Linked DNA regions of Alligator mississippiensis. The protein of the gene in region 2 purifies or fractionates together with the protein of the main gene of each other region. This does not show direct contact. Links are inferred from orthologs where the notes say so. Each region holds a gene or a part of one and is shown on either strand. Other genes may lie near its edges. The genes, in order: PSME1 and PSMB9.

Region 1 (15,413 bases), on a different chromosome or scaffold from region 2:
CTAGCTCTATCTTTCCCTATAGCTATCTCCAGATCTATAAACTCCAGCTCCTTTGGTTAGTCCAGCACAGGGGTCAGCAACATTTTTGGAAAGTGCCAAAAACACCCGCAACCTCGACTTGTAAGGTGTCAGCATGCCAGGGGCAGACAGAAGAGGAGGCACGAGGGGCCTCCAGCCCCCACCCCTTCCCCACTGTGCATCCCAAGGTACAGAATGCCTTTGCATGCCATGCTCTGGCACCCATGCTGGGGGTTGCCTATCCCTGGCATACCTGCCTTCCACTTTAGTCTGAACAGGTATCCGTTGCAGTGGCCTGACACTCTGAATGCAAGTCAATCTGATGCTGTTACCATCAGCGGGCCTTTTTTTGGGTGCAATCAATCCATTTCAAATGACGCCTCAGCGCAAACAGATACTGCTCTGTTTCCATGTCACAACGTGAATCTGGGAAAAGCTTCCATGCAAAGAAACATTCCCATGGCAAAGAAATAGGCCTCTCATAATCAGAAGTTTGCCTTGCAAACAAAATAATCTGCAGACAGGCATAAGGCCAACACCTATCTATAGCCCTGAGTGGAAAACTGCAGTCCAAACAGCAACCTAGGGCAGTGGGAAGGGGATCAGAGTAGAAAGAACGGGGATTGTGAACAGAAATTGGTGCAGTCCTATTGCAACTGGCAGAGATTTTTCAGTGCAAAAATATATACCTACTAGCCAACTGCCCGTCAAGAATGACAGAGGAGTGGGGTGCAGGCGAGGACAGAGGCCTAGGCCTGTGCCTGGCCCTCTCCGCCCCCATTTTCAGGGCCAGGCACGCTCCCCCTTCCCACCCCACTCTGCCGTGGGGCTGGGCCTGCTTCTCCGCCTAGCCTGTATCCGCCTGCCTCCCATCCCCCTGAATAACATAGGGGGACACAGGCAGAAAGCCACCACCCAGCACCCCGTGCCGCAGCCACATCCAGGGAGCAGGGGGTAAGGCCAGCACTGCTGACCTCATCCCTGGCTCTGTCCACTCCGTTGCCACTGCCTCCTGGGAGCAGGGCAGGGGGGGGAGCTGTGCTGGGCTCGCCCCCCTGCTCCTTCTCTTCTGTCATCGTCGCCCGCCCTCCTGTCATGGCAGTGTCCAGGCCTGCTCTTCCCCCATGCCCCAGCAGGCCCAGGCCCATTCCCCACCTCCCTCATGCTGCCGCTGCAGGTCCAAACCTATTCCCCACCCCTTTGTGCCACCGGCCTCTGCCTCCTCCACGCAGCTGGCCTCAGCCCCCTACCCCATCCCCTCTTTCCCTGCTGTCAAGGCAGCACGGTGATGCCACCACCTGCAGGCCAAGCATTCTTGGAGCACTCTGATTGGCTGCCAAGACAGCCAATCAGAGTGCGAATGAAGCGTTAGGGACAGACAGACAGACTAAGGCTTTTATGATATTAGGATACCCGTGGGCGGGGCTGGAACGTTGAAGACTGGCACAGATTCCATGCTACGTCGTACGTGATGTGACATCCAACCCCCTGCCCAAAGCAGGATCATCCCTATCCAAACCATCTCATACACTCCATCATCTAAACTCTTCGTAAAACTACCATCAACCCTGACACAACACCAGATCTTACACCCGAACCTGTCCCAGGGAAAGCAGGGAGACCTCAGCAGCCAATGTCCTGCTGCTGTAAAATTCATTAATATCCACTCAAGAGATTCGCAGGTAGAGACCATGACACCTGCTACAAAGGAAGGCGACCTGCCCCCTCCTCTCCCCACCACCACCCGCCAAGCCTGTTCCAGTCTAAAGAGACCATCATCACTACTGTTTCTTAAGAGCAGAACTTTCCCATGCAAACATGAGCCTATTCCAAGACAAACACGAAGTGCCACATGCTGGGATATGGAACACAAGCACACCGGCTCTGCTGTGATCAGCAAAGGAATTCGGAGAAAGTTGCAAGGCCCAGAAATATCAGCCAAGTGCCAAGCCCACAAACAGCATCAATAATAACGGTACTAGTGATAGTGATGATATTGCTGTTATTGTGGCTGCTGTTGTTACTCATAATAAAATCTATAATTTATAGATTATATATCTATATTCCATAATCTTTTCTGAGGCAAATACAAACTGCAACAAACTGGGATTTGGAGCAAAAACAAATGCGACTCTTGCAATGAGGAAGAGGTTTCGCGGCAATTAAATCCACAGACAGTTGCAAGGCCCACAAATATCAGACCGGCGCTGAGCAAACAAACAGCTAATCACCATCACCACTGAATTGTAATAACGATATTATAATTATAATGATTATACATTAACATTATAGTTATACTATAGTAACTATACTCTAGCTAAATGTGAATAATGGCATATTATATCTATATTATAATACTAATAATATAATGCTACCTCTTATGATATCACAATAACTACATTATAATTGTATGTATCATTTAATAACAATGCCACGGTTATGTTATGTTATAACAACCATATAATAATTATGACTATATTAGCATTATTATTATATTGTTGTGTTTGTACACTACATTTGACCATTTTGTTACACATGCTCGTGCTCGCTTATGTACTTTGTGAGATGTTATCATAATGTAACTATCTTATAATAATTAAATATTTATGCTATTGTTATATTCTAACAGCTATGTGATAAATATAGTTAAGTATTATTATACAATATAAAAGCTATAATGATAATAGTAATAATATAGTAATAGCTTGTATTATAACAACTCTATTATAATTAGTGTTTGGTAATATATTATAATACCATATATTATTATCACAACTATATTCTAGTGATGATTATTACTTAATCATAATCATGGTGATGCTGAGGACTGTAATAATGCTCTTCTTGGGGTGGTGTTATTAATCACACCAGTCACAAATAGCATGTATTTTCCGTGCACAGCTGTGCCTCATTCAAGACAAACATGACTGGCAGTGATCCAGGGTTTGCAAGCAGCAAAACAAAAATTCAGTGCAAGGTGGCCCAATTTGCAGCTGACGAGATTATTCATAGTGGTAAAGACCAAGGTGGACCATGAGCAACTACGGAAGGAGCTGGCACGACTGAGCAAATGGGGAACTAAATGGTGGATGAAATTCAATGTAGATAAGCGATGCACATGGACAAAAATACCCCAAACTCTCCCTACACACTCTGATGGGCTCTGCCTTAGCTGTTACCACCCAGGAAAGATCTGGGAGTCACCGTGGACAGTTTGCCAAACAACTCTGTACTCAGCAGCTGTCAACGAGGCAAACGTTAGGGGTGATTAAAAAGAGAATCATCAACGAAACAGAAAGTACCTCAATGCCCCCTTAGAAATCTACGGTGCGTCCACACCTGCTATACTGTGCCCAGGTCTGGTCCCCAGGCCTCAGAGAGGATACGGAAGGACTGAAGAAGGTCCAGAGAAGGGCAATGGGGACGATCAGTGGTAGGGACAGGTTCCATATGAGAACAGACTAACGAGGCCAGGCCATTTTAGTTTAGCAAAGAGATGCTCAATAAGGACAGGAGCAGTTTACCGTATACTAAATGGTGAAGAGAAAGTCACGAAGAGTTTTATTCTAATGCACCAGAAAGAAAGCGTCCAGAAAACCCGCTCATGCAAACAGTCGTGCCATTGCAGTGCAAGGAAGGGCAAAAACCACGATGTGTACAAATGCCCCTAGGACTGCCTGTCTCTCACTAGGCAAGAACTGGGGGGTCACAACATGAAACTAGCAGGCAGTGAGTTTAAAACAAACACTAGGACATTCTTTTTTACCCAGTGCGGAATGAAAGAACGGAACAGGCTGCCACAGGATATGAGGGAAGCTGATGTTTTAGCCTGATTTGCAAAGGGATGGGACACATTCCTGGAGGAAAGGGGCATCGGTAGCTATTGAGCATAAGAGTGAGGGGCACAGCCTCTGAATCACAACATCCTAGGCTTTAAATGCTGTGAGTGAGAGAAGTAAATCGGGGGAAAAAATGCTGGTTGGATCCAGCTTGCTCTCCGTGTAATACAGGAGACGGGGCAAGCTGGACCTATGGTCTGACCCAGCAATGGCAGTTCTTATGTTCCTATAATTACCACGCACATGTGGGTAGACTAAAATTTATTGCATGATTCACCAGTGAAGTGCATGATATGTGTAACATGTGGCAAGGGCTTCATGAAATGCAACCGCTGCCCCCCTCCACCAGAACAAGCTCTGAGGTTGCAAAAAGCCATGGGACTAAACAGTCCCCAACAGAGCATTTCTGGGGTGCACTGGGTTGGACGGATGCTGGGGCCCCATGGGCTGCTGAAGGGGGAGTGGGGTGTGCTAGGGTGGGGTTGTTTGGGGGGGACCCCAGTGCAGGCGCTTACTTGGAGATGTGGGTCTGGAATCCCTCCAGCTTGGTGCGAGATGCCGTCATGAGCTCAAAGACTTTCTCCTGGGAGGGGAGGGGAGACGGGGTGAGCAGCTGGGCTGGGGGGCAGTGGGGGGTGTAGGGGCAGTGGGAGGGCTCACCTGCACAGCGACCCCAAAATTATTGCCATCCTCAATTCGGGGCACCTGGAGTTGAACCCACACGGAGACCTGTGGGGAGAGGGGGTTGCATGGTCTTGGATGCCTGGGGGGAGGGTGGGGGGGTGTATCCCGGATACCTTGGTTGCATGGTTGCGTATCCATGTCCTGGATGCTAGAGTTCTGTATATGTGTGTGTGTGTGTGTGTGTGTGTGTGTGTGTGTACACATATCCCACTGCCATGTGGTTGCTGTGCAATTGTATAGCTCAGTGTGGTCTCCAGGGTAGACACAGCAGTAGTGCTATGTATAGTTATAGCATGGTTGCAGGGTTGTGTAGCTGCAGTAGTGTGTTCTTGTGTGCTGTTGCATAGCTGTGTAGTTGCAGTATTGTACAGTTGGGCCACACTCACTAACCCCAATTCCTGGGGGCATTGCAGTGGCAGTGCAGTTGTGTAGATGTGGGGTTGTGATGCTGTATGCGTAGTGTGTGGTTATGTAGCAGTGTGGTACTCACCAGCCTTAGGCCCTCTATGGCACCCTGCGGTGGTGTTGGTGTGTGTGGTGTTGTATAGGGGTGTGTAGTTGTGTAGCAGTGTGACATTTGCCAACCCCAGATCCTCCCTGGTGCCTTACAGAGGTGGTGTAACACTGTGGTGTGTATGTAGCTGTATGACTGCAGTGTTGTGTTCAGTTGTATAGCAATGTAGAGGTGCATAGCTGTGTGGTTGTGTAGCAGTGTGCAGCTGTGTTGTGTGACTGTCTAGTAGTGTTTAGCAATGTGGTTGTGGTGGTTTTTAGTGGTGTTGTGAATCACTCACCAGTCCTAGCTCCCCTCAGTGTGCTGCAGTAGTGGTGCACTTGTGGTATTGTGTAGCAGCTCATGGTTGTGGTGGGTAGCAGTGTGCAGCTGTATATAAGTGTGCAAGCATGTAGTGGTGCACGGTATTGTCTTGTTGCAGAGCAGTGTGCAGTTGTGTAGTGGTGTGTAGCATTGTGTGGTTCTGTAGCGGTGTGTAAAGTTGTGTAATAGCCTCCAGTTGTGGAATGGTGTGCAGTGTGCAGCTGTGTTGTGGTGTACAGTGTTGTGTGGCTGCTGTGTTGTGCACCACTCATCAGCCCCAGCTCCTCCCTAGAGTGCTGCATGACAGCATGGCATATGGCTATGGTGTTGTGCAGCAGTGTGAGGTCATGGTGTGCAGTGGAGCATGGCTGCGTAGTGGTGTAGCATAGCAGTGCGGTATTGTGTGGTCGCATAACTGTACAGTGTGACCTACCACTCCCAGCTCTTCCCTGGCGCCCTGCCCTGGGGTGCATAGCTCTATGGTTGTGTAGCAGTGTGCAGTTGTGTTGCATGATTGTGTAGTGGTGTTCAGCCATGTGGTGACATAGTTGCGGTGGTCTTTAGTGGCAGTGTGGTGTGACGTGCATACAGCCATATGATAATGGCGTATGGCTGTGTGGTCTCATGTGGTGGTGGAGTTGCATGTCCAGCCCCAGCCCCCCACCCCGGGCACAGCAGTGGCGGTGCAGGTTGCAGTTATGCGGTGCAAGGGTTTGCATCACTGCCGTGTCACTCACCAGCCCCAGCTCCTCCTTGGCACGCTGCAACCGGGGGGTGACGCGCTGCACCAGGCCCAGCACCACGGCGTTGCTGCTCACTGGGCCGCACGGAGGCCCTGCCGGCACTGGGGTTATACCTGCTCTGTGGCCTCCCAGCCCCTCCAACACCACCCTGAGACCCCCATGCCCCCCCAGTGCCCCCCCCACCCCCCCAGCACCCACCCTGGGGTCCCCGTGACCACCCGGCCCTCCCCACACCACCCAGTGCCTGACACCCCCCAGCCCCTGTGGACCCTCTATATGCCCCCAGCCCCATAATGCCCCAACCAGGCCCTCCCACCTTTCAACAACCACCAGCCCCTTCCGACCCACGCAATTCCTACCCCCAGCCCCCCACAGCCTTCCAACCCCCCATGACCCCTTCACATTTTCCACAACCCCCATCCCCCTGATGGCCCCCCACAGCCCCACCTTTGTCATCATCGTCCTTCTTGTCATCCCCCTTCTCCTTCTCCTTCTTCTCCTTCTGTGGGGGGGGGAGATAAGAGACCCTCTCAGACCCTTGGGTTCTCCCTGCAGCCGCCACACAGCCTGGACCCCCCACCCCAGATATCCCTGTGTGCTGGGCAACGCACACCTCCCCAGCTCCCCCCAGCCCTCACCTGGCGCTGGGCGTCCCGTTCGGGGTCGGGCAGGGGGATGTCCAGCTCAGCCCGCAGTGCTCCAGGGTCTACAAGGTTTAGCACGGGGTCCTGGTGTCGGGTGGAGAGATCAGTGGGTGCCCTGAACCCTGACTCCACAGAGACCCCTTGCCCGATCCCCCCAGCTCAGCTCCTCCCTCCCTCAACTCCCAGATACCCCCAGCACCCCCCATGCCCCTCCCAGCCCCCACTCCCTCCTGCCACCAGACACAAGCCCCAACTCTCTACAGACACCCCAACCCCCCTCCCTGACCCCCCACACCTCCCAGCCCCCACTCAATCCCCAACACCCCTTGGCTCCCCAAAGCCTTCTTTAGTGCCCCCACACCCCTCCCTCCAGCCCCAGTCTCTTCAGGTCCCCTACACCTTCCCCCTGACTGCAACCCCCTCAGCACACTCCACAATCCTCAGCCCCCTCAAATACCTCAGGCCCCCCCCCTCCACCCCCTCAATCCCAACCCATCTCTTGTTCCCCCCACCACCATCCCATGCCCTGGGCCCCCCAGCAGGACCTGGACCCTCCAAATCCTCCAGGCCTGCAGTCTCTCCCTATTCCCTTAGCACACCCACCCTGCCCAGATGCCCCCGAGCCCCCCATTTCTAGCCTCCCCCATGTCCTGCGCCCCCAATCCACCTTGAGGAGAGCGTCCAACTCTGCGATCTGCTCTGGGAACCGACTCCCCACCATCTGCTCAGTCTGGGGTGGGGGAACAGGACGGAGCACCTGAGAACAGCTCGCAGCCTTTGCCCCAGCCCACCCATCCCGAGGGCACTGCTGAGGGAAGCTCGCAGGCCTTCCCCCCCCCCTTCCCCGAGGGCACTGCTAGAGGAAGCTCACAACCCCTGCCCCCACCCCCCTAAGGACGCTGTTGGAGGAAGCCTGCAGTCCCTACTGCCCCCCCCCCGAGGGCACTGCTGAGGGAAGCTCGCAGGCCCTCACCCCCCTGCTCCCCGAGGGCATTGCTGGGGGAAGCTCACAGCCCCTGCCCCCCCCATCCCGAGGGCACTGCTGGGGGAAGCTCACAGCCTCTGCCCCTCCACCCTGTGGGCACTGCCAGAGGAAGCTCACAGCCCCTGCCCACCCCCCGCGTCCTGAGGATACCATTGGGGGAAGCTCACAGCCACTGCTGCCCCGCCACACCCTGAGGGCACTGCTGGGGGAAGCTCACATCCCCTGCCCCACCATCCCAAGGGCAGTGTTGGGAGAAGCTTGCAGCCCCTGCCCCTCCCCCAGCCCCAAGGGCACTGCTAGGGGAAGCTCGCAGCATCTCACCTCAGCACACAGCTGGCTGCGGAAGGCATCCACCTGGGTAGAGCACAATGGGGGGGGGTCACCAGGGCCCCCCCAAAACTCCCCCCAGCCCAGCCTGTGCTGCCTTCGCCAGCAACAGCCCCTCCATCTCCAGCGGGGGGTCTGGGGGGCTCCCAGCCACTTCCCTCCCACCCCATCCCCACCACACCGCTGGGGGCCCACAGGCCCAGCCAGGCCCCAAATACCCTGGCTAGGCCTCAGCTACTCCAGCCAGGCCTCAGCCCGGCTAGGCCCCTGCCCTCCCCACCCGCCCCCCCTCACCTGGGCCTGGCTGGCGGGGGGCAGGCGGAGGGCGGCCATGGCCGGGGGGCACCGGGGGGGTGTGGGGCCAGTCCAGGCACAGGCGCGTGGTACCGCAGCAGTGAGCGTGACAAGTGAAATCGAAAGCAGCAGGCCGGGGATTTCCGGTCTTGGACGGCAGCCAAAGGCTGCAAACTTCCTTCAGCAGTGCCCTCAGGATGGGGTGGGGGGAGAGGGGGGGACTGTGAGCTTCCCCCAGCAGTGCTGGCAGTGGTGGTGGGGGAGGAGGGGTGGCAGGACTGCAAACTTTCCCCACCAGTGCCCTCAGGGTGGGGCGAGACAAGGGCTGTGAGCTTTCCCCAGCAGTGACCTCAGTGGGGGTGGGGGTTTCAGACTGGTCTCTGATGCCTGGGTTTTCTGCCTCTCCCCCTCCCAGAGCCCTGGGCCCCCTCTCCCATTGGTTCCCCCCCACCAGAAGCCCCTCCACTTCCCCCAGGCACCTGGGTGCCCCCCCGGCCCCACTTCAAACACCAGGCAGGCAACGCCAGACTCAGAGGCCACCTTTATTCGTGCCCCAGCACCTCAGTTCTCAGCCTGGGCGTCTGCTTGGGCACCTGGGGCTACACCCCACATCGCTGCTGGGGCAGACGGGGACCCTGCCCTTCTCCAGCTGGTGTCCCTGGCTCTCCTGAACGAGCCGGTTCCCATCCCACATCCAAAGGTGGGAACAAGCTGCACGCATGACAAAAGTAGTCTGGCGTCAATTGACCGGTGGTCTCCCAGACGCTTGGGTCCCTTCTCCACGCCTGTTGGCCCCAGAAGGTGCCGAGGACACATGGACCCCTCAGTCGTCTCCTAGCGATGGCCAGGGGCAGGCTGTCCCAGATGCCGCGGTTCCTCAGCCCAGACAAGTCCACACTCCAGGGCAGGGGGAGACGCCCCTGCACAAGACTCTCCAGCTGATTTCCCCTCTCCTGGATGCCTGGGTTCCTGACTGAGCTTAGGATGAGTCCATTGCCCATTGCTGTGCAGAGCTTCTCCAGGTGTTCACCAGGCCTGGCCCACCCCAGATGCCTGGGTTCCCACCTTCTCCAGATGTTCTCCAGAGGTGGCCTCCTCCCAGATGTTTGCATTTCCACACATTGCCCAGAGATGGCCCCACCCTCTCCTCCTCCCGAAAACCCAGATTCTCACCTCCCACCTTCTCCCAGACACCAAGGTTGGCATCACCCATCTTCTTCTCCAGCTGTTCTCTAGACACTGAGATTTCCCACCCCCTCCCATCTCTGCATGTACCGCAGAGGCCACCCCATGCACTCTTTCTACTGGATATCCAGGTCCCCCGCACCCCACCCCCCTCCCCACCCCACATGCCAGGATCCCTCAGGCGCACTCGGCGGCCAGGGGGAAGAGGCCAGTGCCAGGGCGGCCAGGGGACCAGCGGCAGCGGTACCAGCCACGGTACGCCAGGGCCCAGCAGAGGGTGGCAGTGGCAGTACCAGCAGCATGGGGGGCATAGGGCGGCTGCCACAGCAGCGTGGCCACCAGCAGGGCTGGCCACAGTAGCAGCAGTGCCACATTGAATAGGAAGAGGGCATGGAGCGCGGCCCCCGCCCGCAGCCCCCGAGCCAGGCAGCGCCCAAACACGCCTGCCTCCTCCAGCACCAGCAGTGGGCAGAAGGTGAGCAGGAAGGCAGGCGCCGAGGGGGCAAAGCCAGTCCAGCGGTGCCCGCCTGCGCTGCAGGCTGCCTTGGAGGGCAGCGCGTTCACCAACCGCCCACCAGGCACCGGGTCATAGCAGTGGCCCGTCAGGTCCTCGGCCAGGGCAAAGGCAGCGCGGGCGCCCACCCAGAACCCTGCGCCCACAGCCAGTCGGCACAGTGGGCGCAGCGCTGCACCCACCCGTCCTGCTGCGCCTACTGCCAGCGGCAGCAGCAGCCCCGCCACCAGCAGGCTGGTCCAGCCCCAGGCCGACGCTACCAGTTTCCTGTGGACAGGAGGAGGCAGAGGTGAGGGGGGCACCTAGGCTCTGTCACCCACCCCTGCTCCAGCGCCCTCCTGCACTCATCTCCCTCTACCCCCAAATGCCCCATGCCCTGGACCTGTCCACACAACCCCATCCCCGTCCATCCCTGTTCCCCCACCCCTTGAGATCTCAAAGCCCCCCCAGACCTCAAGCCCAGTCCCCAACACCCTACAGATCCTGCCCCCAGTAGCTCCTGCCCTCCCACTCACTCTGCCCTGAGCCCCAACCCCAAGTCCCACCTCAGATGTCCCCTCACGCAGTTCCCTCCCCTCCCTTCCCAGATACAGACTGCCGTCCCTCCCATGACCCTCAGAGCCCCCAGTTCCCCCCTATCCACCCAACCCAGCACCCAAACTCCACCCACCCCCATGAACCCCCACCGAGGATCCTCCCTTGCCATCTCAAGACCTCTAAAGCCCACTCCCCCCCTCCCTGCTCCCAGCCCAGAAGCCCCCTGCCAGGGGACTCACACATGGAAGAAGTTGCGGGGGTTGGCGAAGACGGCATGGGGGCTAACGTACAGCCGCAGCAGGGGCGACAGCAGCACCAGCAGCGCGAGCCCGGCATGATAGGCCCGGCGTGTTCCCGGCAGCACCAGCACCCAGGCGGCCTGCTCCCCAGCCAGCTGCACCAGCCCTGCACCCAGGCCCCCTGCCAGCCCCAGTGCCCGCCGCGCCAGCCCCCACAGCTCCCAGGCCCCCATGGCACCACACTGACGGGCACAGCCTGGCCTGGCCCAAGACAGCTGCGGGGCCTGGCCTAAAAGTGACAGGTGGCAGCTGCTGGCTGATCCCAGGGGCCTGTGAGGGGGTGCAGACAAGAAGGCTGGAGGGGGGCAAAGGGAATCTGGGGGGGTAAGTAGAGAGTATTATCCCCTGCAGACTGGGTCGGGGGAAGAGGGGCTTCCCCCCCAAATCAAGGGGCACAGAGACACGTCTAGAGAGGTTTATTCTCAACATAGACAGCAGGTGACACAGACAGCCCCCGTGCAGCACAGGGCAGAAGGGGGGGCACAGAGCCCCTCCAAGTCCCCCATGCCTGGCCCTTCCATGCACGGGGGACCCGCATGGGACTGAGAATATGGGAGACACCCCCACACACTTCCCAGCCTTTAAAAAACAAGGGGGCATCCCCCCACTAGCAGAGAATATACAGCCCCACTTCTCCATGGAGGGGGGGAAAACAGAAGCCCCCCCCCCAAAATACCAGCCCCCCAAATCAGAGAGGCAAGGCAAAGCCAGGGACTCACAAAAGACCCACCCGAACCCAGAGACCACCCCTCCCCCACAGCGGGGGGGGGGGGAACAGCTGACGGGAGTTCAGGATGTGGGAGGGGAGGGGAGGTCAAGGACGGGCAGAGGAGAGGACCTAGATCTGGCTCCCCTCCGCCTGCCCGGAGCCAGCCAGCGCCCTCCCCCCTCTGTCAGAACTAGCACTGTCAGGAGGGCAAAGCCCCCTGCCCCACTCCTAAGCCAGCATCCCCGCCACGGGCAGGGAGCCCTCACCTGCCAGCCCCGCACCACCCGCCTCTGCCCAGGAACAGCAAGGCCCTGGCTCCACAAAGGGGGAAGCCCCACCCAAGGGTCCCTGTCCCTAGTGAGGAGGGGGGGGGCTGGATTGCATCGCCAATCTCTCCTGTGGGGGGGGGGCCACGATTGAGGTGCACTATTGGCTGGAGGAGCGGGGCGTGGCCCGGGAGGGCTTGGGGGCCACGGGGGGGCTCCCCGGGTCCCTGAGGTCATCCTCGTAGTACTCAGCCTGGCGGTGCTCCCAGACACGCAGGCTCCCGTCCCACTGCAGGAAGAAGGGGTGGGGGGAATTAGAGCACCCCCTGCTGGACGCAACTGGAGAATGCCTCCCCCCTCTTCAGCATTGCCAGGCCATAGATCTGCACCCCACCCCTCCTCCCCCCTGCTGGATCCTGACCCACTCACCGAGCTGCTCACAATCTTCTCCTCATAGGGGTGCCAGCTGACGTCCCGCACGCAGGCCTTGTGATTGGTCAGCTTCTTGATGATGCGCCCTGTCAGGAGGCTGTAAACTGGGGGGGACCGCGTTGGAATAAATGATTACTTTCCCCCCCCGTTAGCTGTGCAGAATGGTATTTCCCAACCCCCCCCAACAGTGGTATGTGCCACTCCCTCCCTGTTGCCCCAAGCCCCCAATTGGAATGAAACTTCATAATGGAACTCCCCCCCCCCTCGCACTGGGAGCACAGGAACAGTTCGTCTGGGCCTGGCCCAATGGGAGGGCCATCCTGCCCATTGCCCCCCACCTCTGGACCCAGTGGTAGTCCAAAGCACTAGGACACAATTGAGTTTGGACACAATGGTACAGCCCAACCCTGCCCCCAGGACACAATGGTACTGCCTGCCCCATAGCCCCGCCCTTGCATCCTGAAGCCCCTCCCCTTTTACACTGGTTGCTGGGGGAGAAGCAAGGGCTCTGCCCTTACCTCATCATCAGGCAGGCACTGGCCCAGTTTACTTCATGGCCCCCTGGCTCCCAATTCCACCCCAATTTGGCCACGCCTCTGTCCCCCCCCACTGCCCCACCCATTTCTAGTTCTGCCCACATTCCAGTGTAGCCCCACCCCCAAGCAACTCACCCACCACCTTGCCCGTGGAGCAGCCGCTGTAAATGTATTGGCTGCCGGTGCTGTAGGGTGGGGAGAAGCGGCAGCGAATCAGGGTGTGCAGCACCCCGTGGCCCCTGTAGGTCATCAGGGAGCTGTCGCCCGGAAGCTTCCCCTTGCGCCAAGCTGCCGGAGACCAGCTGCATTAGAGCCTGCCCTGCAGAGGTGGGACTTCCTACCTGGGGAGGCAGGACTTCCCACTTTGACCCTCTTGGCAGGAGGCGGGACTTCCTGATTTGCCCACGGAATCTCCTCTTACGCTGCATCCTTCCTGCCCCCTTCTCCACCCTACCTGCACTCCACTTCCTGTCTCCACCACCCAACATCCACCTCTTGGACAACCTACTTCCTGTCCCGACTAATCCCGCAGCGACCTCTCTTCCTGTTTTTTGCCACACCCCCACCTGGTTTTCCATCCTGTCCTCCCCAGCCATTCCACATCCTATTCTCCAACTCAGGCTAACTGTCCTCCAACAAGTAGGCTCATCTTCCACTTCCTGTCCCCCTGCTCCTGACCTCTTTTGGGCACTTGCTGCCACCGGTAGTCCCAGTTCTGCTGGGTGACGGCTTGGCGGGATGCCTCCATGGCCTCACGCCCCGAGAACCTCCGGATGTCCCACAGCTTGATGGTCTGGTCTTTGGAGTTGGAGATCAGGTACCGGGCATCCCCCTAGGCAAAGGAGATCACGCTGGTCCTGTACCAACCCCTGCTTCTCCCATTTTTATCTAGCACCCCGCCGCCCCCGCAGGTCTCACCTTGCTGTCGATGAAGGTGATGCCATCCTGGTGCCCAGCCAACATGCCCACAGGCTTAGGGTCGTCCTCTCGCATAGTGCGCCGATCCCACACTTTACAGATGGCATCGTCACCCCCCGAAAAGAGGATGTGGGAGCTGGCGTCCGCAAAGGCCACGGCATTCACATCATCTTCATGTGACTCGATCTGGGGGGGAAGTGGGGGCATTGTGGGTATTCTCCCAGAATCTTCTCTGCTCTCACCTGAAGGCACCCATTTCCCAGAATGCCAAGAGGTCAAAGGCAATTTACCTCCTAGAATCCTCTCTACTTTAGCCTGAGAGCACCTCTTGTATCTACTATGCCAAAGGAGGAGGCACATCGCCCACCCCAAATCCTTTCCGCTCTTGTCCTAGGGCTTGGTACTCCAAGTGACATCCCTAAATCCTCTGTCCTCACCTACTAATTTGGTATCATGGGTATCCCCTTCCTAGAGCCCTCTGTGTTCCAGCTGGAGGGCACCCACTGCCACTACCTGCTGGGCACTGCGGGTAACCCACCTCTCCCAGAATCCTCTCTGCCCTTGCCACCACCTGGGCTATATACCTTGAGAGTCCGCCTGTTCTGCTCACGGTCGAAGACGTACACACAACCGTCATTGGCTCTGGAGAGGAAGATGGACTCGTCAGGAAGGGGACTGGAGATATTTGGCCGGAGCTATCCCAGAATCCTCTCTGCTCTCAGCAGAGATGCATCTAGGTTTCCATGACATTGTGGGAGAGAACCAGACCACATTTCCTGTTTCTGCTCACTTTGTGGTTGCAAGAACCAGACAGCACTGCCTTGTGTGGGCTACACTATGTCAGAATCCTCTCTGCTCTCAGCCATGTTGCCTCAAGAGGACCATGGCACATGGCATTGTAGGTAAGAACCAAGTGGCACTGTGTGGTGCTGGAACATGGAGTCCCCAGATCCCCTAGTGTTATCTGAGAAGTTTGGGTTTCACTGCATCATGGCTAGGAGCCGTCTGGCACCAGGCAGGACTGGACCGACTCCAACCGGGTGAGATGGTCACTTACCCCCCGAGGACCTCCCGTCCATCTGAGGATACCGTGAGAGAGAAGACAGCAAATCGTCTCTCATCCGGCCTGAGGGAGAGGAACAATTAGACATAGCACCTCCTCAACCCCCCTGACCAAGATGCCCGCCCATCTGGTTACCTCAGACCAAGATGGTGACCCCCCCCCCCCCCCCCAAGTCACTTCAGCCCAAGACGGTTACCCCCTCAAGGACCGCCCTAGTCACCTCAGCCCAAGACGGCCACCCCCTCAAGGACCGCCCTAGTCACCTCAGCCCAAGACGGCCACCCCCTCAAGGACCGCCCTAGTCACCTCAGCCCAAGATGGCCACCCCCCCTCAGCCCAATTCTGTTCCCTCCCAGACCCCCAGTCACCTCAGCCCAAGATGTCCGTCCCCTCCTATTCCCACGATACCTCAGCCCAAGAAGGCCATTCCCACCAGCCTTCTCCCAGTTAGAATCATAGAAAGTTAGGGTTGGAAGGTACCTCAGGTCACATCTAGCCCAACTCCCTGCTCAAAGTAGGATCGTCCCCAAAAAACTCCAAGGATGAAGATTCCACAACCTCTCTGGGTAGTCTGTTCCAGTCTTTTACTATAGTCTTTGTGAG
Region 2 (15,794 bases):
CTGAGGACCAGCTGGGTGTTCCTGTGCTTCCAAGCCCTCAGCTCCATCCCAGAGGGACCTGGAGCAGGCCGTGCCAGCTGTGAAATAATGCATTGTGGGATAGCAGCAGGAGGACTGCTATTCACATGGTCGGTGGTAGGCTGGAACAAGATGCAGGGGGGGCTGGAGGGTATCCACAAGATGCTATAGGGGTGAGGGGCTGGGAGGGGGCATGGCATATAGCATGCCTTGCATAAACTGGGGAGCTGCTGGGCCAGGACTTGATGGGCCACTCCAGCACCCCCCACGATGGCTGTGTGCACCATGAGTGTGCCTGGGACCCCTGTCACTTGTGCTGTGTGTTGGAGCTGCGTGGACCAGGGTCAGCATCTGAAGTGTATGTGTGTACCTGTGTATGCATGTGTGTGTGTGTGCATGCATCTGTATGTGCATATGTGTGCACCTGTGCATGTGTACACATGTATGCATACCTCTGTGCACATCTGTGTGTGTGTACATGTGTGTGGGCATGTGTTTATGTGCATATCCGCCTGTGTTTGCATGTGCATATGTGCATGTGTGTTGCTAGCCCTAAGTGTGTGGACACAGACACAACTGGTGCACAAAACAGTGAAGCTTTCTCCTAAAGCCAGAGAGAAAAGCCCGACACCTGCATGAAGCCAGCTGGCATGGCAAGGGTACCTATCCCACCAGGCCTCTTACCTGGGCCAGGGACCTGGGCATGGCCTCAGAATATCCTGTGCCTCAGTTTCCCTCCTGCAACCATGTCCTTCCACCCTCCACAGACATGAAGAGGGCAGGAGCCCCCTGTATTTTGCTCCCATCTGCACACAGCTCTCCCAACCCCCTTCCCCCCCCCCCCCCGGGCCCAGCCTAGCCAAGCCCCCTCTGCCTAAGGGTCCATCCACCCCTGTTGCCCCCTGCCCCATCCACTGGGATCCAGTAGCCCAGGGATCAACTGTGCCCCTGCCTATGTGCGAATGGGCCAAGAGCCTTCCGTTGGGAGGTTTCCCTAATAAAAGGCAGTTGGTTATCGTTTCTGTGGGCAGGGAAGCAGCTGTGGGCTCTGGGCCTTGGCCTGGTGCCTGTACAAATGGCTCATTTGTCTCATGACCGCTCTCATGCCTGGGTGACTTCTCGGAAATCACCTGAGATCCTGCCAGCGAGGACGGCTGCAGCCGGCAGAGGGCACCCGGGCCTCGGGCACCAGGGTTCCCGAGGGCGAGTAGCTGCTGGGGTTAGTGCCGGGCTCCTGGTCCTTTCCCTAGTAGGGGAGAGGAGTCAGATCTAGTAGTGGTTAGAGCGGGGGCCTCCTGGGGTCTCCCCCAGGTCCGAGAGAGGTAAGCCGAGGTTGCCTGTCCTGGCTTCTGTCCCTAATGCGGGGAGCATGGGCAGAGCTCACGCACCCAGGCCCCCTGGCTCCCTGCGTGCCCCCACACTGCCCCACCTGGGGGTGTCCCTGCCCCCAACACATTTAGAGGCTCCGGGAGGAGGCAGGCGAGAGGTCAAAGGGCCCCTCTGTGTGCCCCAGCCCCTGGAGGCGTGGGGGTGGGGGGAATGCAACTCTGCCCCCCAAAGCCCAGCTGTGAAAGCAAAAGCACAAGGTGGTGGCTCCCAGCCCGGGGATTTCCAGTAGAAACTCCCCCAGGGGGAGCAGGGCAGCAGGGCTGGGGCAGGCAGGGACTTCCAGTGGAAACTCCCCTGGGGGAGCAGGGCTGGGGTAGGGACTGTGCACTGGGGTTGGGGGGAGTGGCTGTCCCAGGGCTGGGGGCTGCTAGCAGGGCTGTGGGAGCTGGGAGAGCTGGTCCAGCACTGGTTCTGGGATGGGGAGAGGCAGGAAGAGCTGCATCCTGGCCCCAGAGGGGGAAACTGAGGTGGGGGGAGCAAAGGGCATGTCCCTGGGGCACGCGGTGAGTCAGCGGCAGAGACTCATCATCAGTTCCCTGCTTTAGGCCCCAGCCCCCACTCCCCTCCCCAGTGAGATGGGAACCTGGCTCCCAGCCCGTGCATGTTTCTCCTCCTCCGTCTGGGCAGGCGGAAAGCTCTCAGGGCCTGGTGCCCGATGGGGTGCGCACAGCTCCCCGTGCACAGACCTTGCTCGGGGTGGGCACATTTCTGGGTGTCACTGGCACCCAGAGAGCAGTAGTGTAGGGAGCAGCCCTGGGGGCCTGGAGACACCAGGGCAGCCCCCAAATCACCCAGGCAGGTCAGTGGGGCCAGGGGGCATTAACCCCCTTTTGCTCCCCTCTTCTCAAGGCGGGGGAGCTGTCTCCTGCCTGTCCCATGAGGCAGCTGTTGAGGGGGCAGGCTTGTGTGAGAGGCAGTGCCAAGGGGGCAGGGGGCAAAGGGAGGGGGTCCCAAAAGAGGTGTGGGAGGCAGCAACCCCAGGAGGACAGGAGTCGGGGGGGTGTTTAGCAGGTTCAGTGGTAGTTTGGGTGGGGGGCCAGAGTCAGGGGGCAGGTGAAGGCAGTGGGTGCCAGGTGGGGGGCAGGGAGGGGGTAATATGGACCAGGCAGGCTCCGCCAGGCCCCTGCCTCTCACCTTTCCCCACGGAGACCCAGCCCCATGTTCCCACAACCCCCACTGGGGCAGGAGCTGTGGGGGAAGGGGGTTGCGAGGGGTTACACAGCAGGGCTGGGGCAGGGTGCACGGTGGCTAAGCCCTCAGGCACAGGCAGCAAGTCCCTCAGCCTAAGCCGGGGGTGGGCAATTATTTGGGCCCACGGGGCACTGAAGGAGTTTTGGAGAGCTGTAATGGGCTGGATCAGCAGCCCTGTCCCAAGCAACAGCTCACCAACACTCCCTAAGAGGCCACATCCCACCCACCTGGCCTGCTATGCCCGCATGGGGCTGGCCAGTCTCAGTGGAGACCTTGGGATCGTAGGGTGATGGCAGCATGGGGCAGTCATGATCTGTTCCCCCTATGGCCCTGCACATAGACCCGGTGCCTGTCGCAGAGGCATGTGGGCAATGAATCATGTCTGTGCCCTGGCCCCGGTCACAGCCTTATGCTGTCGCTGCTTCATGATCCCACCCCGTGATCCTGGCCTTACCCACCCATCCCGCTCCTGAACACTGCACCCTGCCTGCACACAGCCCCATCCTGCACGCCCTGCCCACCCAGGTCCCACCCCCTGCGCTGGGTGCGGGTCAGACGAGACAGGCCAAGGAGCCCGGGGGCACAGCCAAGTCACGCGGTGGCAGCTGGAAGGAGCCACTGCCACCAGGGCTGCTGGGAAGCAGGTCCAGCCGCCACATTGCCCCAGCCCACTGTGCACCTGGGGGTAGCAGGGCTGACTGCACACACCAAGGCCCAGGCCGCCCCCCATGACCCAGGCTACCCCCTGCCATGGACTGGTTAAAATCCCTCTGTGGGACAGATCTGGCTTGTGGGCCATATTTTGTTCTAGCTTTAACCTGAACCCTAAGCCTGGCCCTAGCCCTAGCCCCAACCCCAGGTCTAAGTGCAAGTGATGGTCCTTTGTCCTACCTCCACTCCTGTAGGTCCATGCTTTTCACTACCCTAACCCAACCCCCTGGGCTGTGGGGGCTTCTGTTGGGTGTCCCACCCACCCAGGTTATGTAGGGACCCCTCCCTCCTGCTCTGGTGCCAGCCTGTGTTGGGACAGGTGATGCCTGCTGGAGCCTGTGCCAGCCCAGGGGCTCAGTCACCCTGTGACCATGTGCCTGCACTGGAAATACCAGGAAAATAGGCGTGGCCAGTCAGGGACTCTGCCACTTCCCAGAAACCCTGAGAGAGGAGGGAAAGCACTGCCCGGGGTGGCAAAGGGAGCTGCTGCCTCAGCAGGACCTGCCAGAGGTGACTACTGGCCCAGAGGAAAAGGCCCTGACCAGGTGATGGGACCCAGCACTGCGAGCCTGTCCATGGCAGCGGGGGGACCCAGCCTCTTCCCTGCTTGTACCCCACTGGGCCAGGCATTGGTGCAAACAGAGTGTTAATTCAGTGTTAATCACAGACCCCCTATCTCTGAGCCATGGACAGGAGCAAGCTGCCCAATAGCTGTCGTGTAACCCTTGTCCCGGTGCCAGGGGCTGTGCTCCATGGGGCACACTGGGGAGTGGGCAGGCACTGCTGAGCCCTGTTCCTTGGAGGGGGTGGATGGCGCAAGGGGGTTGAGGCCCTGCTTTCCAGTCATGGCCCCACGGCCTCTCCCCAGCAACTCATCCCCATGCCAGGGGGACTGGGGAGTATGAGCCCAATAGCAGTAGTGGTGGTGGTGAGGAAGGGTCCGCTCAGGTGGTCAATTTGTGCTCTATCCCGTGAAGGCTGCAGGGCACAAAATAGCTGCACCAGGGCGGGACCATGGACAAGATGGAGCAGGTGCTGCAGCCTGGTGTCCAGGCCAAGGGAGGGCCGGGCCATCACCACAGGCTAAATGCTGTATCACCCCTCCGGCCCATCACCCCATGCCTGGGCCAGGCCTGCTACAGGGTGGGCTAAGAGGCAGCTGTCCATAGTGCAGGGCTCGAGGGCACCAGGCTATGAATCCCTTCTGCTAACATCTCCTTGCTCAGGGCTGATTCCTGCCAGCCAGGCCCAGCCCTGGAGTCTGAGCACAGATGGGCACATGCGGCTCTGCTCCTCTTTCCAAGTTTTATTGCTGGGAGTGCCAGGCAGCGCGGGACAGAGGTCACTCGTCGTAGAACTTGGGGATGTCGTCGCCCAGGAACACCTGCTCCTCCGCGCCTGCCTTGGTGATGGTCACGAGATAGATGACCCCCCCACTGGAGCCGTCCCGGCTCATGGCCAGGGCTATGGCTGGGGGGAGAGGGAGGGAAATGAAGGGTCAGTTAACCACCCCCTTGGAGGAGGAGGACTCCTGCCTCTTCACTTACCCCACACCCTGAGCCAGGCCACAGTAACCCGTGGCCAGAGCAGGTACCGTTCTTGGTGAACTGCTGACACTCCTCAAGCTTCATCCCTGGCTTGTAGGCAGCATCCACATAGCCATAGATGTAGGTGCTGCCAGAGCCCCCGATGGCAAAGGGCTGGCGGGTCAGCATGCCCCCCAGCGTGCCGTACACCTGTGGGAGAAGTGAGAGGTGACTCCAGTCTATCTGCAGCCAGTAGCACAGCATCAGGGACTCAGCCACAGTCACAGCTACCCTTGTGCCCGACATGCCGAGTGCCTGGGCCCAGCTCTGGCAGGTGTCTTGGATCCGCCTCCCAGCCCTTGAGGTCTTGCTTCCAGCTGCCAGCTGCTGCCCAGGTGTGGGGCGCTGGGAGAGCGATGTTGGGGGGGAGGGGATGGATCATGGATGTGTCAGCAGGGAGGGAGTCTGTGCCCAGCCCTGCTGGCTGACCCAGGGCTTAGCCTTGCCCCTCTCTGGGCTCAGGTCTCTCACCATCCCCTCTATTTTGCTGCTCTGCAGAACTGCAAAGAACTGGGGAGGGACCATGTGCGCACAACAGAGGCCCTGATCCCAGTCTGCGCAGCTTCTGGTCACGCATGGGCCCAATCCCATCTGGGGGTCTGAGCTGCACCGAGACTCCTCCACGCACCCCCTCAGCCCTGTCCCAGCCTCACCTGCCCTCCCTTCCTGTGGTCCCAACCGGCTACCATGAGATGGGCTGAGAGCTCTTCTTTGTACTTGTAGCTGATGCCCCTCACCAGGGTGGCAGCTGCCAGGACCAGAGGTGGATCATCCATGTCCATGCTGCGGGGGGAAGGCACCAGAGCTGGAATGGGGCAACAGGGGTACATGGATCCCATCCTGCTGGGTCCAGCCCTGCTCTGCCCACCCCTACCTGTGCAGCTCCAGGTGGTAATGCACCATGTCAGCGATGGCCTGAGCGTCGGCCGCGGAGCCGGAGAGGGCACAGTAGATGCGCTTGTGTAGTGGAGCCAGCTTGTCAAAGACCCGGTTCACCACAGCCTCCCTGGGGAGAGACCCGGGCAAACATGAGTGCAAACGCCCCCAGCCCCAGCCTGGCCTGCCCCCAGATGAGCTCTGTAATAACACTCAGAGCCTGTCCTCACCCCCCAAAACCTTGGCACCCACCTTTCCTAGAGCGCATCCCAATGCCCCCTTCTCTGGCGCAGTCTGTCCCCCAGACCCTCCCTCCCTCCAAAGGAAATGCCCAGTTCCCAGCTCTGAAACAAAATTCAGGAACTGCCTTTCTTTTGTATTTCCCTTAGGTGGGGGAAAAATATAAGCACCTGCTCCCAGGACTTGGTCCTTGCTCTCCCCTGAATGACACCTGGAAGCAGGACACTCCCCCCCCCCAACCCCCAAAACTTGAGAAACTACCATTCTTGCACCCCGTGGGGTGGGACCGGGGGAGGAGCACAGCAGTGCTGGGGCTATTCCGCCCCTGGGAGGAGGCGGGTGAGCTCAGCAGCCGGCGGGATCGGCCCCGACCAAGGTGGCATTGGTGGGAGGAATGACCAGCCCGGTGCCCCTGAGCCGCACGTCACAGACAGCTTTCTCCCACCCCCTGCAGAAGGCAGGTGACAGGGTGGAGGGGGCCATCTAGCATATAGCCCATGGTGACGGCCTGGCCCTCCCTGGCTCTGGAGATCAGGCTACAGCCCCTGCTCCATCTTGTCCATGGTCCTGCTCTGGCACCAGCAGCCATTTTGTGGAGGTCTCCGGGGGACAGGATACAAAATGGCTGCCTGAGGGGCCCCACCACCCCTGCCATTGGCCTCACGCCCTCCAGCCCCCCGGCATGGGGACGGACCGCTGCGGACAGGCTGTGGCCGGAGAGCAGGGCCTCAAGCCCCTCGCCCTGCCTGCGCCCTCTGGGGCCAGGGCTCATCCATGCCCACCAGCTCCCCTCGGTGCCCCGCGGCCCGTGGCCCTTCCACGGAGAGCCGTCTCGGCAGCACGAAATCCGAGTCCCGCTTTCCCGGGCTGCAATCCAGGACGAGGCTGACTCCAGCCCGCGCCCTGTGCCCCGCGCCCCGTGTCCTGCGCCCGGCCTGTGCTCCGCCTTGCCCAGACCGACACCGCAGCCCGCTTCCCCGGAGCGCCCGTCGTGTCTGAGCCCGGCCGTGCCGCGTGCCCGAGTGGACGGCAGCGCTCCCGCTGCGCCGGGCGGGACGCACTCGGCCCCGCGCACTGCCGGGGTGCTGCTGCCTGCCATGGGCGCCAACACGCCTGGGCAGCCCCAGACTGCACATGGGGCGCCCTGCCAGGCCCTGCAGCCTGCGGGCACCAGGGTGTTGGCACCGCAGCACCCCCCGCCCTCCCCTGTCCCCCCGTCCCACTGCCCCGGCCATGCCCGGCAGGGCACTTACCCGGCCGACACGCGGGAGTCGGAGCCCACCACGACCCCGCCGGCGAACTCCACCGCCATGATGGTCGTCTGGGGAAGGATGGGCCGGGCCGGGGTCAGGGCAGGGGGCTCTGCCCGGCCCGGCCCGGCCCGGCCGGGGAGGGGAGGGGAGGGGAGGGGAGCGGGGTGCGGTGGGATGGGGTGGCCCCGTGGGCATGTCCCGCCCCGCCCCCCCCACGCGCTGCCCAGGGGCCGGGCCGGGCCGCGGGGGGCGGGGGGCCGCGGGCGGCTGGTGCTGGACAGCGCCCGGGCCCGGGCCGCGCGGGCCGAGGCCCCCGGCCCCCCCGCTGCCGCCCGGGAAGGGAAAGCGAAAGCGACGGCGGCGGGGCCGCGCGGGGAGCTGGGGCGGGACGCGACGGGACGGGACGGGACGGACCGACAGACCCGCGTCCCCCGCAGCGCCCCGCGCCCGCAGCTCCCGGGGGGGGGGTGCCCCGTGGGGAGGGGGGGAGGGGGCTCCCCTGGCAGGTGAAGCAGCACCCCCCCGCCCCCCCCCCCGGCCCATCCCGGCCCCTACTCACCCCGGTGCGGACCTCCGCGCCCGCCCCGCACGGCGCCCCGCAGCCGGCCATGGTGCGGCCGGGCCGGGCCGGCAGAGCCGAGCTAGCGCTGGCTGGACAGCGCCGCGCACCGCCCGCCCCGCCCCGCCCCGCCCCGCCCCGCCCCCGGAGCGAGCAACCTGCGGGCTTGGCCCTGCCCCACACCCCGTGACGCGGGGAGGCTCCACGCGGCGGGGGGTGGGGACGGGGCGGGACACGCGTGGGCTCGGGGCCGCGGCCCTCCTTCCCCGCGCGGGCCGTCTAGCTGCTCCGGGCCGCGCCGTCGGCCGGCCGCGGGCTCCGGGGACACGAGCCCCAGCGGAGACTGGCCCAGGCCGGCGGCCCGCCCGCTGCCCGGCTCCACACAACACGACACGACACGACACGACACGACCCTCCCGGCCCCGCGGGCTGCCCTCGGGCTCTGCCACAGGGGTGGGGCTGGGAGAAGGGACCGAGCCCTGCCCCCGCTGCGGCAGAAGGTGCCCAGCGCCCCGCCGTGCCCGCCACGTCCCCCGCAGTGCCCGGGGCCCCACTCAACTCCCCCCCCCCACCCCACCCCAGGACAAACGGGAGCGAGACACATGCCATTTAAAAGACAAACGTGGGGTCGGGTATTGTAAATGGAGACATTTTATCTTCTGTGCCTAGCAGCGGTACTTACAACTCAAACACGAACTTTCCCACGTGCCCTATTCTTCACTTGGCAGACCAGGCTCTTTGGGTGAATCTGATCTCTTTTATTAGACCAACTTAAATATTTGGGACAGCAATTCTTAGCAAGCTTTCAGTTTAGAAACCCTTTGCCAGGCTGAGGATGGGATGATGAATTCACTCCATCCCAGAAGAGCGCACACCAGCTGCAGAGGCTTCCTCAGCCTGGTGGAGGGGTTTTTAAACCCAAAACGTTGGTAAGAAATGTTTTTCCCAACTATTTGAGTTGGTCTAATAAAAGACATTAGATTCATCCGAAGAACCTTGTCTGCCGGTGTCCTTAGACCAACACAACTACTACAACCTACACCCTTATTCGTCACTCATTTTTTAAGTTTGCCTTCTTTTCCAGCAGAGAAGCTGCATCTCGGCAGCGACTGTGAGGCATGAAATAAGAAATAAAAGCAGCCGCGTTGGCTTCGATGTAAAGGTGAAAGCCACAGGGGTCAGTCAGTCTCTCCCGCCACTCAAGCCTCGGCCCCCTCCCCCCTGTGCAGGGTCACTCACGCTTGTCCAGGGCACTCTCAGGGATCCAACGTCCAGGCTCACGTGCTCCACATAGCAGGTGTGGTTGTGGTTGCTGTTGGGGTCGATCTCTATTCTGGCCCAGGTCTGGTAGGTCTATCTGCACTGGGAATGCCCCCCCTGGCCCTGCTGTAACCCACCAGACCCCCACGTTGTGCTCAGAGCTGGGAGAGAAGCCAGGTGTCCTGCCTCCCAGCGCCCCTATTCCAAGCTCCCTGACCTGCTGCGTCCCACCACTAGAATACAACCCAGGGGTCCAGGACAGCTGCAGCAGCAGGAGGGGTCCTGTCTTCACACAAACACCACTGCCAGCAGACTGGCATTTTCCTGGCACTCAGGGACCTTGGAGCATGTGTCCAGTCTGGGTGCAGGACGTGGCTGGGCTGCAGCCAGCAGGAGGCTCAGAACAGGCCTCACCAGGGTGGGATGAGGTGGGACAGGTGTGCTGCCTAGAGAGAGCTCCAGTCCCCAGCACCTCCTACTGCCCCCAGCCCTACTCTGTGTCCAGCCCCAGCCCCAGCCCTGCCCCAGAGAGAAGCCTCCAAACAGGATGGGGAGAGAGAAAACCAAGAGTGCATATACTGACATAGCCCCAAGCTGCCAGATGTGCATGCTTATTCTCTAAAGAAGATTTTACAATCTTAAACTTTCTCCACCCAGCCCTACCACACCACACCCCTCCCCACCCACAAACAGAAGGAAAGGAAAAGGGAAAGGAGGAAAGAAGGTTGTGTCCATCGGACCTGAGATCAGTGCAAAATGTCAGAGCATCTGGGGCTGCCCCTGCCCAGCTGAGGCCTCCTCTGCACACCCAGCACCAAGCAGTTGATGCCCCGGTGGAGTCTGGCATCCAGAACATCAGGGGGTGCTCAGCCACCTGGGCATCAGTTATAATAAAAACAGCTCCCTTTATCCTGGTTTGGCCCATGCCCTGATGGTGCTACTGATACACGTCTCCCTGTGGACACAGCCTTGTCCTGGTGTCACTCCCAGGATGCAGAGAGCAGGCGCTGTGCGCTGGGCAAACCAGAGCAGCAAACAGAGAGAAGGGGGCTCCAGGGCACTGATTTGGTGCAAGTCCTGCTCATTTCCCTGCTCTAAGACTCCTCTCCAAGAGCACCTTACCTCTGCCTTTTTTTTTCTTTTGCTACAAACAAGCAATGTTCAGAACCCACAACAAGCAATGCCCACAACTCCCCCTGCCTCCACCCTGCCCACCCACAGCCAAGCATCTTTAATGTCACACATGAGCTATTTGCTGTCTCAGAGCAAGGCACTTTGATTTTGCAAAATCATGCCTAAAGTGAAATGCTTGGAAGGAGAGAATGGGCTGCAGCACTTGCTCTGTGCTGCTCTCTCTCCTTTTCTGTGGCCCCTTGGGAAGTGGTGCAGGTTCCTCCCGGCTTCGTTCAGCTGTGGGAATGAGACATGGGAGATGTAGCAGGTTGGGGTGTGTAGATACCTTTAAAAGTGTTATGTACAAGTTGTTACACTTGCCCAGCAGAGAGAGGAGGAAACCAGGGCTCTCTGAATAAACAGGCTTTATTGTTGTATAAGTTTAACTCCTTGGTCTTTGGAGAACAACATATGGTACCAGGAGGGAGGTGTGAAGAAAGATAGAAAAATGAACCTTCTTAGACTTCCAGGGGAGATAAAGCTGTCCAGCGATGCAGCAGAAAACGGGAAGAAATTTAAGCAGAGCTTCACCATACATAGGATGGCCAGTGGAGCTGCAGAGAAGCAAGATCTTCTCAAGGTAGCTATTTTTTTTTTTTTTAATATAGCAGGCCCAGAAGTTCTGTCTCTTTATAAGAGCCTACAACTGTCAGAAGAACAGAAAAGCTATGGCAAATGAACAAAAAAGTTTGAGCAATACTGTATATTGTAACAGGTCAGGATCCCAGGGGTGGCCATGATGTCCTTTGGTGGCTCCGCGACTGTGCCCTGCTCCGCCCCTAGGGTGCCCTTCTATCTCGCCCACCGCACCTTGACGTTATATAACTAAATAGGGAAGCTGCCCATGGCCCTTTGCAAGGCCTCAGTCCCACTGGTAACAGGTTCCTGGCTGGACCTCTACAGTCACAGGCCTTTGGCTGGGCCACTGCAGTCAACTGTACCCAAAGCCTTGAGGGCTAATTGCATGGCTCCAAAACCTCCCTTTTACCATGCCCCATGCCTTGCAGGTGTTACAGGTATGTTGCCCCCTGTTGGGGCTTCAGCCTCCTCAGCCTCTGCCCCTTTTCTCTAGCTAGGCCTTCTAGCCTAGACCCACTGAACCAGATCTGGCTTTGAGGCACTAGCTTTGTTTGTCCTTTCCAGTCACCTGACCCCTGCCCCTGTCTGCCAGCCCCCTGGCCCCTCTGTGGCTGTGCCCTCACTGGTGCTGGGCTCTCCGGCCCCTCTGTGGCTGTGCCCTCACTGGCGCCAATGAGGCCTCCTCCTCGCATTATAGCCTCATCCCGGTCCACCGTATAAACACAACATAAACACAAGCCCCTGGGCTATAACATAAATAACAACCTGTAGCAACCTTCTGCCCCTATGAGAGTATAAACCTTGACTAACCCAGTATCCCAGGTTTCCCTGGACAGGAGCTCCTCCCCTTGTGGCAGCCAGAGATAGACTTCCCTGCCAGCCCCAGCCTTAGGCTTATATGTTCCCTGGGCCCTGCCTGCTTACGGTCAGCTGACCAACTAAAGGTACCTGATAGTAATTACCCATTAGCTTGTTGCCCTGGCAACCTGCAACTGTGGTGCCCTGCCTAGCCTGCAGAGCTCCCTGGCTGGGCTGCTTTTCCTCTTAAAGGAACAGAGAGTCCCAGGTTCTCTGTTACACATACCCAAACACAATGAAACCTGTGAACAGTACCATTTCCACATGAGACAGCAGAAAGAATGTGAGACAACAGAGGAATTTGTCAGTGACCTTAGACTGCTGAGCTAGACATGCAACTTTGTAGATCTAAAAGAGTCCATGATCAGAGACCAAATAGTATAGGGTACAAAGGATACAAGCCTCAGGAAAATACTGCTAGAGGGTCCTGAGCTTAATTTGGGAAAGTAAGTTAGAATGTGCCTAGTGGCTGAGATAACAAGTGCCAGGCTGCAGAAGCTGGGGGAAAAACAGAACACACTGAACAAGGCAGGATTACAAGACCACAAAACCCTAAGGCAACACATAAACAATATAGAAAGGAGGACATCACTATGAAGCAGGCAAGCATGGGCCAAAGATAATTGCTTGAAGAAACAATGGTCAGTTGCAGTTACGTTGTCCAGAGCATATGATACAATGGAAAATGCCAGACTCAGACATAGTACATGTTAATCTAATTAAAAGAGTGATTCCTATCACTGATAACATGTGGGCACTAATTGCAGAAGCTACTGCTCAGGACACCACATTGCAAAGAGTGATAACAGTAATTTGTGCTGCTTAGCCTGGAAAACATATACCTAGCCCCTACTCTCAGTTCAAGGAACAGCTCTCAGTATTGGCAATTTGTTCAAAGGCTCACAACTCATTGTTCCAGTAGTGCTAAAGAAAGACATGTTAAACAGAATACATGAGGGGCATCTAGGCACTGAAAAATGCAAAAGGAGAGCAAGGGGTGCTTTATGTTGGCCCAACATAAATAATGACATAAAAGATGCTATAAAGGTTTGTACAATGTGCCTAAAGTACAGATCAGCACAAATAAAAGAGCCCATGATGGTCTTGGAGGAGCCTGTAACTCCATGGTATCAAGTGGGTATTGACTTATTCATGCATGCGGGAAAAAAATATGTATTAGTGGTGGAGTATTCTTCTCATTCTTCTGAAATTGCATTGCTTGAAAGCACAGCAGCAGCCCATGTCATAACTCACATCACATGTTTTTGTGGGATTCTACAAGTTGTGAGAACAGACAACAGACCTCAGTTCAATTGTCTTGATTTTAAAGAGTTGCAAACAAATATGGATTCTGTCACAACACTTGAAGTCCTAAATACCCATGATCCGATGGTCTGGTGGAAAATGAAGTACAAATACTGAAGAAATCATTGAAAAAAGCTACAGATTCACACACCGATGTTTACCTGTCACTCTTAAATTACAGGGCAATGCCCATGAAATATGGATTGTCCCCATCACAGATGTTGTTTAACAAGAAACTCAAAACCAGCCTGCCAAATCTTGTGGATGGTGCTCATCAGAGTGAAAAACAAAACATGAAAACATTTAAAAAAATCATCAAACCCAAACAAAAACAGTACTGTGACAGGGGTTCCAGGGAGTTACCACAAGCGCACAACAAAGATATGGTGCTTATTTCAGCTGGACAAATGTGGAAACAAAAAGCACTAGTTTCCCATCAAGTGGTCCCAGATCCTACAAAGTAGTCACACTAGAAGGACAGGTGTTAAGAAGGAACAGAAGGACACTTGCAGCTTATAAAGGGGAAAATAGAAGCAGCATCAGAAGCAGCATCATGAGATTCACCAAAGGAAACAGAGCTAACAACAGAGTTAACATGCAAGCAAGAAGAAACTACAAAGAAGATTGAAAAATGACAAATAAAGTAGAGACATCTGAACAAGGAAACTAGAGAATTGAACCAATAAGGATTGAGAATGCAGAGAATTTGAGAAAATCACTTAGAGCTAAAAAGCCAACACCAAGACTGACAGAGACCTGTTAAAATGTGCTTTAACTATGGGTTGAACTAAACTTCCAATGTTAGTATTATACGGAGACACCTTACATGTAAAGGGAGAAGATGCATGGATACTTTTAAGCAAGCTTTCGGGTGGATACTTTTAAGAGTGTTATGTATAAGTTAGCAGCGGTACAGGTTGTAGCCATGTTGGTCTAAGGACATTGGCAGACAAGGCTCTTTGGGTAGATCTGATGTCTTTCATTAGACCAACTCAAATAGTTGGAAAAATTCTTCTTTGCAAACTTTCGGATACAAGTACCCTTAGTTAGGCTGAGGAAGTCTCTGCAGTTGGTCTGTGCTCTTCCTTGATTCTTTATCACTCCATCCAGGAAGGTTACACAGCAACTGCAGATGCTTCCTCAGCCTGTCAAATGGTGTTTGTGCCCAAAAGCTTGCAAAGAATTTTTCCAACTATTTGAGTTGGTCTAAGAAAAGATATTGGATTTACCCAAATAATCTTTTCTGCCTAAGTATATGTTATTAAACTAGCCCAGCAGAGAGAGGAGGGAACCGTATTGGACCAGCAGAGGGGCAGGCTAAGAGGGCTCTCTGAATAAGCAAACTTTATTGTTCTGTAAGCTTAACTTCTTGGTCTTTTGAGAACAGCACATCGGGCAGGTACTGAGCCGGCTTCGGCTCCAGCCTGGGTCACTCCCTGCACTGAGGGGGAGGAGATAGCTCTCCCCAACACACCTCCCACTGATGGTCAGTGCTGCACTAGCTTTGCTCCTGGCAGTGCCTTGGTTGTATCCCCGTCCCTGGACCTGCCTGGGATGGCAATGGACACTTCCACTCTCCACAGGCAACTGGTGAGAGGAGCATGAGAGGGGGGCATTCCCCCTCCCCCCCCGAGATTGGCCCCCAATACTGCTCAGGATGGGACAGTTTTTTGGTTGTGCAGGCTGGTGGCATGTTGGGGGGGAGGGGGGACACTAAGCCACAGCACAGAAGTGTAGGAGTGGATATGGGGCTTTTGGCCCACCCCTGGGCCCACCCACAAATTGTGCCCCTCCAGACACAGGGGGCACCTGTCACCCCTGACTCTGCCCCTCTCCCCCTAGGAGGAGAGGGGCTGGTGCAGACCCAGCTACACGGTGCTCCGGGCACTCAGCCCTAAGGACCATCTGATCTGGGGTGTCCCCCCCAACCAAGGGACCTGCTCTGGGCCAGGATGGGACAGGCCGTGGCTCTGATTTGGGCTGGCTGTTGCTTTGGATAGACTCAAAGCAAGGGAGGCACAGGCCACTCCAGGGTGCCACCAAGGCTCCGGGTGAATGGCAGGCTCTCCCCACTTCTGGTCCTGGACCTGGCCAGCTCTCTCTGACTCTCACTGTAGAGGTGCAGGAGGCTGTGGACCTCGCCACAGAAGCAGCCCTGCAGCAGCTTGTGGACACAGTTCTTGTTTTCCCAGAGCTTGGGCGAGGCTGCTTGCATCCAGGGCCTGCTTGCATATGCTGGGCCTTGCTGTCATACCCCACAAGGAGCTCCTGTCCACATAGCCCTGCATAGTGAACTTGGGCAGGCCCAGGCCAGATTTCGACACTGCCGACAGGAGGTACTGCAGAGTGTAAAGAGCTACCGAGGCTGGGGATGGGGGGAAAGAACAGTCAGTCAGTCCCAGAGGGACTTTGCCATCCAGCCTCCATCTCACACTGTGCCGTGGGACTGGTCAGGATGGTCCTAGCTCTCCATAGCAACCAAGGGATGATCCACAGGGCCAAGGAGCAGCTCAGCTTGTGGCACAGAGAAGCATGGGTTGAGGCGTGGGCTGAGGCAGTGGCTGGCATAGGAACAGGCACCCTGACAGCCAAGGAGGCTCAAACAAGGACAGCAGAAAGCAGAGAGAAAAGCAGAGTGAGAAATAAGTCACAAACCAGCTTCACCCTTCCCAAGATCACCTCTCATTCACAGGGAGTCAAAGGGGAACAGAACAAGAAGGCTCATTTATACCTTTCCCCCTCTCTCTTCCTGGCTCCAAATCAAAAAGGCAACAGCCTTTTTCAAATGTCTGTGCA

Evidence for each region.
Region 1: the proteins of PSMB9 (region 2) and PSME1 purify together in Homo sapiens (affinity purification with mass spectrometry; 3 studies listed by BioGRID and IntAct, counting the BioPlex papers as one, with this or other methods). This does not show direct contact. The link is inferred for Alligator mississippiensis from reciprocal best matches to the Homo sapiens genes PSMB9 and PSME1.

The regions. Positions count from the first base shown.
Region 1 is NC_081830.1:7,783,022-7,798,434, reverse strand, and holds the start of PSME1 (proteasome activator complex subunit 1), read right to left. Parts: upstream 8,488-15,413; 5' UTR 8,391-8,487; coding exon 8,352-8,390; intron 8,085-8,351; coding exon 8,052-8,084; intron 7,476-8,051; coding exon 7,413-7,475; intron 6,830-7,412; coding exon 6,740-6,829; intron 6,604-6,739; coding exon 6,549-6,603; intron 6,194-6,548; coding exon 6,096-6,193; intron 4,587-6,095; coding exon 4,518-4,586; intron 4,441-4,517; coding exon 4,373-4,440; intron 1-4,372. Other genes in the region: FITM1 (fat storage-inducing transmembrane protein 1), read right to left, coding at 9,714-10,317, 10,827-11,059; DCAF11 (DDB1- and CUL4-associated factor 11), read right to left, coding at 12,022-12,150, 12,291-12,397, 12,965-13,117, 13,508-13,661, 13,748-13,933, 14,332-14,389, 14,805-14,873. UniProt on the Homo sapiens protein: Implicated in immunoproteasome assembly and required for efficient antigen processing. The PA28 activator complex enhances the generation of class I binding peptides by altering the cleavage pattern of the proteasome.
Region 2 is NC_081834.1:63,913,333-63,929,126, reverse strand, and holds PSMB9 (proteasome subunit beta type-9), read right to left. Parts: upstream 7,934-15,794; 5' UTR 7,875-7,933; coding exon 7,824-7,874; intron 7,333-7,823; coding exon 7,265-7,332; intron 5,902-7,264; coding exon 5,770-5,901; intron 5,679-5,769; coding exon 5,549-5,678; intron 5,046-5,548; coding exon 4,904-5,045; coding exon of another isoform or gene 4,857-4,903; intron 4,780-4,856; coding exon 4,652-4,779; 3' UTR 4,601-4,651; downstream 1-4,600. UniProt on the Homo sapiens protein: The proteasome is a multicatalytic proteinase complex which is characterized by its ability to cleave peptides with Arg, Phe, Tyr, Leu, and Glu adjacent to the leaving group at neutral or slightly basic pH.